Saccharomyces cerevisiae S288C: one gene and its partners. The protein of the gene in region 2 binds, or shares a complex with, the protein of the main gene of each other region. Each region holds a gene or a part of one and is shown on either strand. Other genes may lie near its edges.

Region 1 (2,758 bases), 540 kb from region 2:
ATATTAGAGATACATATTCTTCCGGTTCTGCATTAGGAATGATGTTCGGCGTTGGCAACGTTGGTCCTAACCTTTTACCATATAAAGAATGTTCCACCTTCTTCACCACCGATGGTGGCGAAACGTGGGCTGAAGTTAAGAAGACTCCTCACCAATGGGAATACGGTGACCACGGTGGGATTTTAGTTTTAGTTCCTGAAAACTCAGAAACTGATTCTATTTCCTATTCTACCGATTTTGGTAAAACATGGAAAGATTATAAATTCTGCGCTGATAAGGTTTTAGTAAAGGATATAACCACTGTTCCCAGGGATTCTGCTTTGAGATTTTTGCTGTTTGGAGAGGCAGCAGATATTGGAGGCAGCTCATTTAGAACGTACACAATTGATTTTAGAAACATCTTCGAAAGACAATGTGATTTCGACATCACTGGTAAGGAAAGCGCAGATTATAAATACTCTCCTCTGGGTTCCAAAAGCAATTGCCTATTTGGTCACCAAACCGAGTTTTTACGTAAAACCGATGAAAATTGTTTTATTGGGAATATTCCACTTTCTGAATTTTCAAGAAATATCAAAAACTGTTCTTGTACAAGACAAGATTTCGAGTGTGATTACAACTTTTACAAAGCTAACGATGGTACTTGTAAATTAGTCAAAGGACTAAGCCCAGCAAATGCTGCAGACGTTTGTAAAAAAGAGCCAGATTTAATCGAATATTTTGAATCGTCAGGCTACAGAAAGATCCCTCTATCAACCTGTGAGGGTGGCCTGAAATTGGATGCTCCCTCATCACCACATGCTTGCCCAGGAAAAGAAAAAGAATTCAAGGAAAAGTACTCAGTAAGTGCCGGTCCCTTTGCATTTATTTTCATTTCAATTCTTTTAATAATTTTCTTTGCCGCATGGTTTGTATATGACAGAGGTATCAGAAGAAATGGGGGATTTGCAAGGTTTGGAGAAATTAGGCTAGGTGACGATGGTTTAATAGAAAACAATAATACTGACAGAGTTGTCAATAACATTGTGAAATCAGGATTTTACGTTTTCTCAAATATCGGGTCTCTTTTACAGCACACAAAAACTAATATAGCGCATGCTATCTCCAAAATTAGAGGAAGGTTTGGAAACAGAACAGGTCCAAGCTACTCATCCCTGATCCATGATCAATTTTTGGATGAAGCAGATGACCTGCTTGCTGGCCACGATGAAGACGCCAATGACTTATCCAGTTTCATGGATCAGGGTAGTAATTTTGAAATCGAAGAAGATGATGTTCCAACACTTGAAGAAGAGCATACATCATATACAGATCAACCTACGACCACCGATGTTCCAGATACATTACCAGAAGGAAATGAGGAAAACATCGACAGGCCTGATTCTACAGCGCCATCTAACGAAAACCAGTAGAGAGATTACTTTACATAGAGTAGATAATTCCATATACTTTTCATAAACAAAAACGAGCAGATCCTTTAGACAGAATATCAAGTTCTTTCACAAGCCAAAGAAACTTGGCATGATCAGTACTGGTGCAATTCAAATAACTGCAAGTACTGAATCTCCATCTTCAAAGCAGAACCGTAATAATGCGTACAAGGAAGCGGGTGGGATATATCATATGTTACGGGAAAGTGGTTGTTTGACTGAAGATCATCGAGAACGTCATAACTTCAATACATAAGTCATCGCGTAATTTTACAAGCTTTACTGTTCAGCTTTATAGGATAATCAGAATAAGAAAAGGCAGATAAATAGTTTGATAAATGGCCAGTTGTGATGGGGAAAAAGACTTTTAGAGAATGGCAATATTTCAAGTTATCAATGTATGTATATTTTTGACTTTTTGAGTCTCAACTACCGAAGAGAAATAAACTACTAACGTACTTTAATATTTATAGTACTTCATTCGATCAAGATGTGGACGATGCACATGCTATTGATCAAATGACATGGAGGCAATGGTTAAATAACGCATTGAAACGTAGTTATGGTATTTTTGGTGAAGGTGTAGAATATTCATTCCTGCATGTTGACGATAAGCTGGCTTACATCAGAGTAAATCATGCGGATAAAGATACATTTTCTTCGTCCATCAGTACATACATATCTACTGATGAACTCGTCGGTTCACCATTAACAGTGTCAATTCTACAAGAATCTTCCAGTTTGAGACTTCTGGAGGTTACTGACGATGACCGCCTATGGCTGAAAAAAGTAATGGAAGAAGAAGAACAAGACTGTAAATGTATATAGAATATCAGTTTATTATTTAAAAAAACTTGGGCATAGAAGAAAGTGTTTTATTCTCCCAAAATATCAGCTGACGTTTTCATATTTAAACCCACTGAAAAAACCCACAAGATGATTCTGTATTATTTGAATCACCCCGAGATCTCTTGCAAATCCAGAACTTTCTACCTGGATTGGCCGAAGTTTTCGATGTTTTCAGCATGGATTCCTCCCCATGCCTGCACAGGGGAGGCTTTCCAAAGACATCCTTGAAATTCAACTTTGGCGTGGAGATTCTTTTTTTAGCTTGCTGTGGAATTTCAGAGGATTCTTTAATCCTGTCATCTTTTTCTCCATTTACCTTCTGGAAAAATGAGTCGAGCGATTTGTTTTTGATGTTGCTGTTTTTTTTGGTATTCATGACTTTTGATACACAATATTTTTGTTTATTAGATTCTTTATTCGTATCCTTTTTGGCAAACATCTCTAAAACATTATGGTTTCTTAAATTATATTTGTACCTT
Region 2 (3,251 bases):
GTGGAGAGAATAATTTGTACGGAAAAAGTTATACCTTTGCATGTCACGTGAACCAACAGAACATGGTAATACATAATGAAGAGAAGTTGCCTAAGTACCTTAGCTACAGTACCAAGTTCTAATCTCATCATTATCACACATTTACAAGACTATTTTTGCAGCAGATGGAGAGATCACTTCAAAAATGCGTTTATGAAACCTATTTATGACGAATTTTTTATTTATTTATTTAGGTAGTTTCTAACCTTCTCCTCGATAATGTTTGAGATCATAGTATTCAAAGTACTATCTTTCTTTGATATTTGGTTTTCCAACGTTAATAGAATTTGCTTCTCAATAATCTTCCCAGTCAAATCTACTTCAATATTAACCTCGTCGCCAATTTTCTTCAAAGGCATGATAACATTGTCTTGGGTGTGCTTTATCATACTAATATAGAAGGCTCCACCTTGCGAAAGTGGGTCAACCTTGATTATGGTCAAGGAAGTTCCATCTATACAAATGAATCCCTTTTCTACTATGTATTTAAAGTACTCTTGATCTCTTAACTGAAACCCAAAAATAATTGAATTCCCCTCAGGTCTTCTTGAGACAATATTAGCAACAGTGTCTACGTGACCCTGTACATAATGACCACCGAACCTAACGTCTTGAGATACCGCTCTCTCCAAGTTGACCTGGGTGCCTTGAATCCAGGAAGCGACATTACTTCGTTTTATAGTTTCTGGTGATATCCCAACTTTGAAGGAGTCGTTATTAAACTCGGTCACAGTAAGGCATACCCCATTTACGGCTATTGAATCTCCAACGTGACAATCGGTGAGAATACTCCCCGCATTGCCAATAGTAATAGAAACTCCTTGACCTCCACTTTCAGAGTCATCATATGGGTTGTTTTCCAAAACAGTCCCCATGCATTCTACAATACCAGTAAACATTGTGCTATGGTTACGATCTCACCAATTGGTTTGACATGTACGTTAGGAAGTACCGTCTTTTTATATCATTTGGATGGATCTGGAATATGACTAATAGATAGTTCAATAACCTTCCTCCATGGAAATTACCGAAAAAAAAGAAAAGGACGGAATTGGTACCCGGAGAGTACTTGGGCGGCTACTTTAGTTTTATATAAACCAATATCGAAGACAGTGATCTTTTTACAGCGAGCTTGAACACAAAATAACTACCGGGGGTAATCGTTCCCACAGAGGCAACATTAATGAATCCTGGGTTAACATTAATACCTACGCGACAAAAATCAATAAAAGAGATTGCTAGCCATAAATGAAAAAAGAGGAAAAAACATGCAGATTGTTTTTGAGCTTTTATGTCATAACAGGTGTATTTATAGCAGTATGAATAGTTTTACTAGCCAATATTCATTTTTTTTGAATCGATGTAAAATTTTTGGATACAAGAAAAATTGCACAATGTTAAATTTCTACAGAAAGCTCATGCAAAGGATGGAAAACTGAGCATTACTGGCAGCTTTGTGGGGTAGTTAAAGAAGTTTATTCTCCGTGGTTGCAGCTGTGGTGGTCTTTTTACTGCCTTTATATCCCAATTCATCCGCTTTTTACCCGGTCCGTTGATTTGAGAAAAAAAATGGTACTCAAAATAGTATGGCAAATATACTCGATGACATGAATAAGCGGAGAGCAATAATCTGTAAAGACTAAAGAAAATAAGCACGATTTGGACTCCCCTATTTGTCAGAATGGATAGAACTCAAACGTTTATTAAAGACTGTCTTTTCACGAAATGCCTGGAGGACCCTGAAAAGCCCTTTAATGAAAATAGATTTCAAGATACGTTGTTGCTACTGCCAACTGATGGCGGATTGACTTCAAGGCTTCAGAGACAGCAAAGAAAATCAAAGCTAAATCTTGACAATTTACAAAAGGTCTCCCAGTTAGAGAGTGCAGACAAACAGTTGGAAAAAAGAGATTACCAAAGAATCAACAAGAACTCTAAAATCGCATTAAGAGAGTACATCAATAATTGTAAAAAAAATACAAAAAAATGTCTGAAATTGGCATACGAAAATAAAATTACTGATAAGGAAGACCTTTTACACTACATAGAGGAGAAGCATCCAACGATATACGAATCATTACCGCAGTACGTTGATTTTGTACCGATGTATAAGGAACTATGGATTAACTATATTAAAGAACTTTTGAACATTACAAAAAACTTAAAAACATTCAATGGATCATTAGCATTATTAAAACTATCTATGGCAGACTATAATGGTGCGCTGTTACGCGTTACAAAGAGCAAAAATAAGACTTTAATAGGCCTTCAAGGCATTGTGATCTGGGACTCTCAGAAATTTTTTATCATGATTGTCAAGGGCAATATAATAGACGAAATAAAATGCATTCCAAAAAAGGGCACAGTATTTCAATTTGAAATCCCAATATCAGATGACGACGATTCGGCATTGAGATATAGTATACTAGGCGATAGGTTCAAGTACAGAAGTGTGGATCGTGCAGGCAGGAAGTTCAAAAGTCGTCGTTGTGATGATATGCTATATTATATACAGAATTAGTAAGAGTTATTACGTACTTCCATTTGCTTCCTCTTCATAAGAGTTCAGTGTTTCCTGAAGTTGTCCCTTTATCATTTCCAATAGTTTGGGATCCTGTAACTTAGACCGTACATAGACATCCAAGTCAAATTTCTTCTCACCATCACCATTATCCCCCTCCATTTTACTACCCAGCTTTAGGTAGTTGTCCTTGACCAATTGTGATTCAATCAATGCACTGGTTAGCCCTCTGTTTTTAAATATTAATTCTTCATCTTCGTTAACCATTTCTTTAACAGTACTGGCAACTCTTTTCCGAAGCGCTTGTTCAAAAGATTCACTATTCTCTTCTGTATTATTCCATGGGTTAGACAATATTTCTCTTTTCAACTTGTCAAAATGTCCCTCCTTCTTATACTTGTCTGATAGTCTTTTACTATCTTCTTGATTATACGCCATTTTTTGGATTTGAAATAAGCTCTACTCTCTTATACTGTGTTTCAGCTTCGCTAAATAAAGAACTGATTTTCTTACGTATTATTTCTCTAGTATCTCTCGTTTTCAAGATATAGAAAAATAAGACAAAAAAAAAGGCCATCATATTTATACAACGAAAAGTGTTTAATATGGAAGCAGCAAGCGGTATATGAACTCAGTTTTAAGGTGTAGTTTATTTTATAGTCATGTCCATTGACGAGGCTGTTGCCAGATA
Region 3 (3,096 bases), on a different chromosome or scaffold from region 2:
TGGAACTATACAGCCCTTGAAAAAAGAACATATAAAATTAAGTCAAAAAATGCTATAGCAAGGTTATTATGGTTAGGTTTGTGACTTTCTGTTGAGTCACGTTCTATTCAAATTCATATTTCATGTTTCCGATTTCTTTTTTTTATAGATTGGCGGCCGCTAACGGTTTCTCGAGAAAGGCTTATCGTGCCATTCAGCTTAATACAAATATATTAAAAAAACAAGATACTTTATACTCACCTTTGTATGTTACGATCGATAGGAGAAATCGATAATATACGTATACGATAAAGTCTGTACAATATGACTGCACCACACAGAAGTACTATTCATATTCTTGGGTTGGGTGCCATGGGTACCGTTTTGGCAGTTGACCTTTTAAGATTTACCAATGCCCTAGTTGTGCCCTTATTTAGATCACAAGAAAGACTTGCACAATTTCAGAAGACAAATGGGAACAACATTTCGATTCGCAAACTTTATTTGGAAGGCTCGCCAATATTTTCTTATCCAGTGGAGAAATGCGAATGCCCTGAAACTTTCTCTAAAAAACCTATTGACAACTTAGTCGTCACTACAAAGACTTACCAAACCAAAGAAGCACTAGCTCCTTATTTGCCTTATATTAATAAAAATACAAACTTAATTTTGATTCAGAATGGACTGGGCGTTTTAGAACTATTGAGAGAAGAAATCTTTACAGATTCAAAAAACAGACCACATTTATTTCAGGGTGTCATTTCTCATGGCGTTTATCAGGATAAAGCAGGAGTTTTCAATCATGCTGGGTGGGCTGGTATGAAAATTGCCAAATTGCCTTGGACTGAGGAAGAAATGATTCAAAAAAAATCCGTAGTCGAGGACGATGCAGCCAATAACTCATTAGTAAAATTATTAACAGAACCAAAATTTGCCAAGGAATTTGGAATAGAACATTCCACTTATCAAGAAATGCTCTTTGGTCAATTATTTAAATTTTTGGTTAATGCATGCATGAATCCAGTTACGGCTATTCTAGATTGTGTCAATGGTGAGATGAAGGCCAGTTGCGGTCCAGTTTTCACATCTATTATTGACGAGTGTTTACAAATATTGAGAGTTGCTTATAGGCCATTGTTTCAATACCACGAAAAATACAGCGGTAATGAAGAATACCCAGAAATGGATGTCAATGCAGTACTGACAACCGATAACATGGTCTCCGAAGTCACTAGAATTGGCTGTGACATCAATTCTAGGAACAGTAGTTCAATGAGACAAGACACTTTGTTCTTAAGAGACATTGAAATTGAGTATATCAATGGCTATGTCGTCAAATTGGCTGATAACTTAAATCTAGACCCAAACTGCTGCAAGGTTAATAAAACTATCGGAGAATTGGCCACTATGAGATTAGCATTGAACAGGTCGAGAAGTATCAATGGTGACTGGAGAAAGGACTGAAAATGCGCGGATATCAGCCAGAACATATACATTTATAAATACTGATATATATACACTCTTAATGCTTTATTCGAGCGAACCTTAACAGTCTGAAGGCAGATTAATTTGTCAAGTGCCTCTCTTTTGTTACTACTACCAGAAAACATGAAAAATGTATGTGCGATGCCCAGAATTTTACCTCGCATAAATGAAAAAATTTCATTTTACCAGTAGAAAATACTTAACCTAAACAGACACAAAAAACAAAAGTGAAAGCATTATAGAACCGAGAATGCTGGTAGATTTGAATGTACCGTGGCCACAGAACAGCTATGCAGACAAAGTTACTTCTCAGGCGGTCAACAATTTAATAAAAACGTTATCCACATTGCATATGTTGGGATATACACACATCGCCATAAATTTTACAGTAAACCACAGCGAGAAATTCCCCAACGATGTTAAGCTGTTAAATCCTATCGATATCAAGAGAAGGTTTGGAGAATTGATGGATCGAACAGGGCTAAAATTATACAGCAGGATCACGCTAATTATCGACGATCCATCGAAGGGACAGTCTCTTTCCAAGATAAGCCAGGCCTTTGATATTGTAGCAGCATTGCCAATCAGTGAAAAGGGCCTTACTTTATCAACTACCAATCTGGATATTGACTTGTTGACCTTTCAGTACGGGTCGCGCCTGCCTACTTTCCTTAAGCATAAAAGCATATGCAGCTGTGTGAACAGAGGAGTAAAACTTGAAATTGTTTATGGCTATGCTTTGCGTGACGTACAAGCTCGGAGGCAGTTCGTATCCAATGTAAGAAGCGTCATCAGGAGTTCGAGGTCCAGAGGCATTGTTATCGGCAGTGGTGCCATGTCACCACTTGAGTGCCGCAACATATTAGGAGTAACAAGTCTAATCAAGAATTTAGGTCTTCCGAGCGATAGGTGTTCGAAGGCCATGGGAGACCTAGCTTCACTCGTCCTCCTAAATGGCCGCTTAAGGAATAAGAGCCACAAACAGACCATTGTTACCGGTGGTGGTAGCGGAAACGGCGATGACGTGGTCAACGATGTTCAAGGCATCGACGACGTCCAGACCATCAAGGTAGTGAAAAGGAGTATGGATGCTGAACAATTAGGCCATGCTTCCAAAAGACACAAGCCTTAAAACGATACGCTAACCTATAACATATAATGTATAAATGATAATTAAATACGTACCCGGGTAGTAGACATCGCTATTATCATCACAATCCACGAATCGCGACGCGAATTCGCGAAAAGACAACAACAATAAAGGAAAAAAAAAACAAAGAAATTTTTCGACGATTTCCATAGAGAAGGAAAACAACGAATAGACAAAAAAATTTGGGGATCCAAGGCATATTCTGTTACATTGTACCTGTAGGATTTACTGAGAGCTGAAACCATTGAAAACTATTCTGCAATTAATTATCTTCGTACGGACTATCACTACTTTTTTTTAAGAAAGACTTATTTCTATTGTTTATTGTTTATAATTCACTCTGAATACTCGCTTATTAATTGTGTGATAAATTCTAAAGGATGACTGAAGGAAAGAGGCTGCAACAGATGGAGCTTCCTCAAATGAAATCCATTTGGATTGACGAGGATCAGGAAATGGAAAAATTGTATGGATTCCAAGTA

What was found. Proteins that work in one complex are often made in the same cells at the same time.
Region 1: POP4 (region 2) and POP8 share a complex: the UniProt entries of both Saccharomyces cerevisiae proteins name them as parts of the nuclear RNase P and RNase MRP complex.
Region 3: POP4 (region 2) and RPP1 share a complex: the UniProt entries of both Saccharomyces cerevisiae proteins name them as parts of the nuclear RNase P and RNase MRP complex.

What each region holds. Positions count from the first base shown.
Region 1 is NC_001134.8:185,498-188,255, reverse strand, and holds POP8 (ribonuclease P), read left to right. Parts: upstream 1-1,781; coding exon 1,782-1,828; intron 1,829-1,903; coding exon 1,904-2,258; downstream 2,259-2,758. Other genes in the region: PEP1 (type I sorting receptor), read left to right, coding at 1-1,412; DNA-(apurinic or apyrimidinic site) lyase APN2, read right to left, coding at 2,341-2,758. UniProt on the Saccharomyces cerevisiae protein: Component of ribonuclease P, a protein complex that generates mature tRNA molecules by cleaving their 5'-ends. Also a component of RNase MRP, which cleaves pre-rRNA sequences.
Region 2 is NC_001134.8:727,165-730,415, forward strand, and holds POP4 (RNase P/RNase MRP complex subunit), read left to right. Parts: upstream 1-1,720; coding exon 1,721-2,560; downstream 2,561-3,251. Other genes in the region: RIB5 (riboflavin synthase), read right to left, coding at 222-938; SHG1 (Shg1p), read right to left, coding at 2,570-2,998; YBR259W (uncharacterized protein), read left to right, coding at 3,223-3,251. UniProt on the Saccharomyces cerevisiae protein: Required for 5.8S rRNA and tRNA processing; associated with RNase MRP and RNase P.
Region 3 is NC_001140.6:222,377-225,472, reverse strand, and holds RPP1 (RNA-binding RNA processing protein RPP1), read left to right. Parts: upstream 1-1,714; coding exon 1,715-2,596; downstream 2,597-3,096. Other genes in the region: 2-dehydropantoate 2-reductase PAN5, read left to right, coding at 304-1,443; GIC1 (Gic1p), read left to right, coding at 2,995-3,096. UniProt on the Saccharomyces cerevisiae protein: Component of ribonuclease P, a protein complex that generates mature tRNA molecules by cleaving their 5'-ends. Also a component of RNase MRP, which cleaves pre-rRNA sequences.